Caenorhabditis elegans: one gene and its partner. The protein of the gene in region 1 interacts with the protein of each later gene in a pairwise test. Each region holds a gene or a part of one and is shown on either strand. Other genes may lie near its edges.

Region 1 (3,413 bases):
CAATTTCAACATCAAAATGCGTTCCTTCATCATCTTCTCTACCCTTTTGGTCATCCTTGTTCAATGTGGATACCCAGTTGCTGAGAATAGCTATCCAACTACACCATCCTATCCAACACCACCACCATCCTACCCAACTCCGAAGAAGTATCCAGTCGCTCCAACATACCCATCTACACCATCCTACTCTGCTCCACCAGCTCAATCTGCTTATTCTTCAAGTGACAATCAAGAAGATACTGAATCTGAATCAGTTACTGGTGCTGCTTCAACATCGGAGTGTAAGGGAAAACATCAATTTCTGACTAAAAATTCAATAAATAAATATTTTACAGATCGCAAGCGCGCCAAGGCACGTACCGCGCACAATCGGCAATTCCAACGACGTGCTCTCCAGCCAATCAAGAGATTCCAACAGAAGAAGCAATAGATTTAGTAGTTTTAGTGCAAATTGCACTGTGATTTTTTAAAACTTGAACAAATAAACATTTCATAATTCAACTCATTTTTCTCAACTCAACATCAACTTAGAAATGTTATGTGTGAAGCAGTAACAGATTTTTAAAATTGAACTCATGGTGAATGCTTTCAACATTCTCCAAAACTTGCATTGAATGGTGTGGAGCATTTCCAAAAGTTTAACAAAATCACCCGATGTTTTTGCATCCAAGACCAATTTTCAATAAGAAAAATAATCGATGTTTGATTACAAGTATGGTGTTCTTTTTTCAAAATTTTGAACATAAATTTTATTTTCAATCAAAGTGGAACATGAAAAGAAAAGAAAAAAGTCATTAAAACATCAGAAAATTAAGCAACTTCTACGGCACCTCCCTCAGCAGCATCCTGTTCGTCCGTATTGATTCCGAAAATCTCTCTGAGTTCAGCTGTCGTTTTGCCCTTTGCCATGTTGGATACAGTCTTACAACCATAGTACATAAGACCCTTGATGTCAAGGAAGTTTGACGCCAGAATCAAATCGAACAGAGCTTCATCCTCAATTTTCAAGAACTTTTGATCCCATTCTGGAATGGTGAGGGTCTTGAGAACATTCATATTGTCCTCTGGAATTGCATCGGCGTTGTGCTTCTCACACCATTCAGCGACCTTCTCCATAGTCTTTCCATTCACATTAGTAACTGGAATTGGATCACGGGTCTCAATGTTTTCAATGGTATAACCGAGATTCTCAATGAGATTGCTGAGAGTCTTCGATTGTTGGACGGCTTTCTCGCTCATTTTTGTCACGACTCCATCGTTTGAAATGATCTTGTAAAAGATTTGGGCGGCTGGAGCATCGGAAACTGGAGCAGACATGGTGATGAGTATGTCGATTCTGAAAATTGAATTCTTAGATTGCGAGATGACTGGAAAATAGAAAATAGGTAAAGGTATCGATGGCAAACCTAACTGACTAGATTTAAACTAAAATTAAATGAGATTTTGGAAGATTATCGGAGTAAAAAAAAATTTTGACGTCACCTACAACAAGAGTGTAATAAGGTTGTAAGGCAGGCAAAAAAGGATAGAAACAGGAAAAGCAGATAGAAAACACCAGATCCAAGACAAGGAAAATTGCATAATGAATGGGTGAGTACAGACAATGCACACCGTTCTGTCAGACGCGCCGTTGAAAATGAATCGATAAGTTGCACAATGTGTTATAGAGTCCCCTCAGCCGAGCTAAAGACGAAGAACAGCTGCAAATATAGTAGTGTGTATGTACATTTTCCAATCAATAACTGACTTACCGCGCGTCCGATGGGTTACATTTGCAGCGTTCTCGTCGTTTAGCGAAAACAGTCTGTTCGATGGTCATTCTGTCGTTTGGCTCTCATCGCGAGCAGTCGCAATTTATTTTCTCTTACTTTTCTTTTTTCTTATGTTTTTTCCTCGTTTTCTACAGTCCTGGTCAAAAAGATATTCCTTTTATTTAGCAGTTTTGATAATTTTGAAATTTTTCAAATGGTTATAACTCTACTAAAAATGCAATTTTTCGTGAAGAACGAATGTTGAAAATATATGTGAACCAAAATTCAATTCTTTCTCGGTAGTTTCCCATTTTTCATTCTATCATTCCGCAATTTTACTCTCTTAAACTTCATCTGCACTCTTCAGCATATCTATATTGATTTATATCTTTCCAGAAATCACCCTAACTTTCAAAAATGTCTGCTGAAGCCGCCGCCGTCGAAGTTCAAGCCAACGAGGCTCCAATTGTCGCCCCAATCATGTACAAGGTCGAATCAAGTGATGGACAAGTCTATGAAATCAGTGATGAAGCAGTAAAGCAGTCGAACACCCTCTCCAATCTGATTTCTACATGTGTTGCCAATGATGTTGCTTCAATGGATCCAATTCCAATTACCAATGTCACCGGAAACATCATGAAGATGGTCATTGAGTGGTGTGAGAAACACAAAGGAGAAACACTTCCAGTTGAAGATGACAGTGTTCCCAAGAACATCACTGTTCCAGAATGGGATACCAACTTCTTGAAAATCGACAACGACGTGCTCTTCGACTTGATTGTTGCCTCCAACTTCCTTGATGTGCCTGGATTGATGAGCTATGCATGCAAGATGGTCGCCAACATGGCTATCGGAAAGTCCCCTGATGAGATGAGAGTTCTCTTTGCAATTCCAACTGATGAGGAGGATGAAGCTGCCGAGAAGGCTGCAAAGGAGAAGGCTGAAGCTGAGAAAAAGGCAATCACAGAGAAGGACGCAGCTGAACCATCAACTTCCAAGTAACTCCCACGTTCTAAATTTTCCGAGTTTTTGATCAAATAAATTCATTTCGCTGTCATTAAACGTTTTTAATCAAAAGAATTGTACGTACAGAAAAAAGTGTTGTCCTAAAATGATAAATTATTGTGTGAGGCTCGAGGCTCAAGGTGGTTCCAAAATACAAATTTATAGAACAAGACGTTTTGAAAATTTCTCGAAAATTTTTAATCATAGTTCACAGGAAGGTGCTGGCTTCCATGGTAGGCAGGGGCGGTTTCAGGGCCTGACGCCTGCCCGAAACCTGCCCGCCTTATGCCGGCCTTTCGCATAGGCGCGGATTGAGGCGAGAGGCGGGCGGAGGTCGCATTAAGGTCAGACAGGCAGGTGTTAAACGCCTATATAGAAGCCCTAGTCCGCTCCTAATTTAAATATTTTTCCGTAGTCGGCCGGGAAATTGTGGTGTTATTTAGTTATTTTTTGGATCAGAATTTTTGGATGTGCAGCAAATTTGCTGTAATAAAATTTGCGAAGAAGCTTCCCAAATCAAAAAATTTTCGAAAAAATGATTTATTGAATGGCTTATCGGGAAAACTTTTAAAGCGAAAAATAAATTCAATTTATTTTTGAAATTTTATTGTTTTTTCTGTTGGAATCTTCTGATTGGCTGAAGAGCACGGCGATGGA
Region 2 (3,928 bases), on another chromosome or scaffold:
TCTTGCACAAAACGGCAGTGGAGCCAGTGATTTGAGCACGTGAGCCTCCAGCTTCAGAACCCCGCCGTCACTCACGTCTCCCTCGACTTTCATTGCGGCGTATGTCTGAAAGCGGGTCAGATCTCGTACTTTGAACACCGCACCCATACCGCCTTCGCCGAGTTTTTCAACGATTTTCCAACGCTTTGCGATTATCTGAAATTGAGGGAAATTGTGAATTTCCGGCTGAAAATGCTCAGAGAAACTCACTTTTCCTTCTGTGATCGCTTGAATTTCTTCCATACTGATTCTGACCACGAAATCGATTGAAACTGTGTAGCTAATAGAGAAATGTAGCTTTTCGAAATATTGAAATAAATTTAATTATTTATTCAATCCTTTTATGTATTGGTTTTTTGTTATTCACATTTTAAAATATTTTTTATTTTTCACGGCCGTTGTTCACCGATCATATGATTACGGTGAAAATTCTAAAACTATTTATTTCCTATTTTATACCAAATAGTTGCAACATATTCTGATAAATCATGTAAGTCTTGTAAGAATACAAAATGTTCTTAGATTTAATTAATGTTGTTTTTTCTTGTTATTCCAGGTACAGTATCTTTTTAAAGGCGCACGAACTAATAAGTTTACCGAGTCCCGCCAAGAACTGTTTCGAGTTTTACAGCGATTTTTGTTCATTTTTTTTCAGTTTTTGTCTATTTATTTGTGAAAGAATAATTTCTCCTCTTTTCCGCAATAGAAATATAAAAAATGATTACAGTTTTATGGGCTCCTGTTTAAAAAACCTAGTTCTACAGTACTTCGATTATTACTTCCACTAATTAAAATTTCCTTTGGGCATCGCCAGGATCGATGTACAGTTAAAAATCTGTTTTCCACCTGTTGTTTTATCGAATTCTTTTTTTACTTTTTTTTCTGCATAAAATGCATGTTTTCTCCAGTTTTTCTCGAATGAAAACGCGTTTTTCAACTTTAAACTATTAAAAATTCGCTTTCGTGTATTTTGCACATCGAAACACCTAAAAAACAAACTTTGCTATTGTTAAAACCTTAGAAAACTCCGCCCGTTCATTGCACAGCCGCTAATCATTCCCTCCTGTGACCTTTCTTTTCCAGATCATCCCGCCATCTCAGCTGTCTTTTGTGCACTAACAGAACCATTGTACTCACCAGAATTTCTTTAAGAATCGATGAAGACACAAGATGAGGCGTCTCTAGCTTGTGTCGCGCAGTCTCCGTCTCCAAGGGTGTTTAGCTCACTGAAATGGGCTCTGAAAAATCAACTGAAATTCGCTTTTTTTCTGTTCTTGGAAATTCCTGAGTCCCGGGGAAAATGAAATAGTCTAAAATTATTATTATTTAGGTGTCTTTCATCTGAAAATTTTCCAAAATTCACAGAGTTTTTGAAAATCTCCTGTTAAGAACAATTTAATTTATTTCCCCAGTATCACTTGAAAAGCTAGAATTATCGCTGGAACAATTTCCTTATGTATTTATTTAATTTCCCCTTTTCCCAGGCTAGCAAATTAGAAAATCTCCTATTTTCCCTCCAATTCCCAGTTAAATTTATCGATTTGCGGTGAGAATCGCGTCCGAGGGCAATCGATTTACTGTCTTCCCGCGATTTTCAGCGCGTCTTCTTAATTTCCAGTCGGAGGCTCACTATCGAGTCATTTCTAACGTCTGCTGGCTCACAAGTATCCCCATTCAGTGATGGCTCTGGATTTTCGTCTTTTTTTTCTATTCTTCCAGGATATCTATATTTCTCCCCCAATTTTGCTCCAGTTTTCCAATTTTTTTGAAAACATCTATTTTTCCGGGATCTCATAAATTTTCTCAATTTCAAGCCCATTATTTCCACCTTCGGTGACTTTTTCCCAACACATGATGATTTTGGATTGGAGCGCGTTTGCGTTTGGGCCCTTGTTTCCTCGTTCCTCTGTTTCTTGCGAAATTGACAAATCCCTTGATTTTAATCGACAATTATTTTTTAAAAATGTGTTTTTCAGTATGACAAATAGCGAACCGAGAAGAATGACGTGTGATTCCGAGGTGGTTTGGAAGAAATTACAAGATGGACTTGATGTAGCGTATCGCAGAGAAAATATGGCGCCAAAAGACTATATGACTCTTTACACGTAAGATTTCCCCCCGAAATTCCACAGAAACTCAATAAAATCTTTAATTTTCAGAAGCGTCTATGACTACTGCACATCGATAACATTGTCCACAAGCCGCCGAGACGGCGAAGACGGTCGAGCAGAATCTTCAACTCCAGCACGAACCGCTGGCGCGGATTTTGTCGGTCACGAGATGTACCAGCGTGTTGAGGAATATGTAAAAGCGTACGTAATCGCTGTTTGTGAAAAGGGCGCCGAGTTGTCGGGCGAGGATCTTCTGAAATACTACACAACTGAATGGGAGAACTTCCGAATCTCGTCGAAGGTGATGGATGGTATTTTTGCCTACCTCAATCGTCATTGGATCAGACGTGAGCTCGACGAGGGCCATGAGAACATTTACATGGTTTATACACTTGCGTTGGTCGTCTGGAAGCGTAACTTGTTCAATGATCTTAAGGATAAGGTGATTGATGCGATGCTCGAGCTGATTCGTTCCGAGAGAACCGGATCCATGATCAACAGCCGATACATTTCTGGAGTTGTCGAGTGTCTTGTGGAGTTGGGTGTTGACGATTCGGAGACCGATGCGAAGAAGGACGCGGAGACCAAGAAGCTGGCCGTTTACAAGGAATTCTTCGAAGTCAAGTTTTTGGAGGCGACCCGCGGATTTTATACCCAAGAGGCGGCAAATTTCCTGAGCAACGGAGGAAATGTGACAGATTACATGATTAAAGTGGAGACAAGACTTAATCAAGAGGATGATCGCTGTCAACTCTACCTGAATTCTTCCACAAAAACTCCACTTGCAACTTGCTGTGAATCTGTGCTCATCTCTAATCAGCTTGACTTCCTCCAGAGACACTTCGGTGGTCTTCTTGTCGATAAACGAGACGATGACCTTTCCAGAATGTTCAAGCTTTGCGATAGAGTGCCGAATGGACTCGACGAGCTCAGAAAATCCCTGGAGAATCACATCGCAAAGGAGGGTCACCAGGCGTTGGAAAGAGTTGCTATGGAGGCGGCAACCGACGCGAAACTCTACGTGAAGACGCTTCTGGAGGTTCATGAACGTTATCAAAGCCTTGTCAATCGATCATTCAAAAATGAGCCAGGATTCATGCAATCACTCGATAAGGCGGCGACTTCTTTTATCAATAATAATGCCGTCACTAAACGTGCCCCGCCACAGGCTCAGTTGACAAAGTCCGCGGAGCTTCTTGCCAGATATTGTGATCAACTGCTCAGAAAAAGCTCGAAGATGCCCGATGAGGCGGAGCTCGAGGAGTTGCAGACGAAGATTGTAGGTTTTTCTCGCTTTTTTTTTTCTCAAAATGGCGTAATTTCCAGCTAAAATTTGAAATTTAACCAACTTTTTGCATATTTTGGTTGTTTATTTCGTTGATTGAGGAACATTTTCGATCGATGAGTGCACACTGCGAAACTGATAAGTTGGCTAAATTTGAGATTTTCGCTGAAAAAAAAAAACAGATTCCTCTCCTTTTTTTCATATCGTTTTTCATACCGATTTTTTCATATCGATTCATATCGAGGCTTCTCAAAATTTCGAAAAATACGGCAATTTTCCCAACTTTTCAATTATTTACCTTTTTCTGACGTTTAAATGTGGCTATAAATCGACCTAAATCAACGAAAAACGCCAGTAATCAATTAAAAATCAATTTCCGACATACGGGAAAATTTGAGGTTTTATCTAAAATTGCCATATTAAAGGATTAAAAGATTTAAAATATTTCAAACCTCCATAGAAATGAAAACCCAATTTCTAAAAAGTTAGCTCA

Evidence for each region.
Region 2: the proteins of skr-7 (region 1) and cul-1 interact in a two-hybrid assay, tested with the Caenorhabditis elegans proteins (2 studies listed by BioGRID).

Annotation. Positions count from the first base shown.
Region 1 is NC_003283.11:4,420,259-4,423,671, forward strand, and holds skr-7 (Skp1-related protein), read left to right. Parts: upstream 1-2,168; coding exon 2,169-2,753; downstream 2,754-3,413. Other genes in the region: Y47D7A.2 (Extensin-like), read left to right, coding at 17-281, 336-430; skr-14 (Skp1-related protein), read right to left, coding at 811-1,317; Y47D7A.9 (uncharacterized protein), read right to left, coding at 3,361-3,413.
Region 2 is NC_003281.10:10,469,222-10,473,149, forward strand, and holds the start of cul-1 (Cullin-1), read left to right. Parts: upstream 1-2,015; 5' UTR 2,016-2,016; coding exon 2,017-2,144; intron 2,145-2,198; coding exon 2,199-3,429; intron 3,430-3,928. Other genes in the region: D2045.5 (non-specific serine/threonine protein kinase), read right to left, coding at 1-195, 250-282. UniProt on the Caenorhabditis elegans protein: Probable core component of multiple cullin-RING-based SCF (SKP1-CUL1-F-box) E3 ubiquitin-protein ligase complexes which mediate the ubiquitination and subsequent proteasomal degradation of target proteins.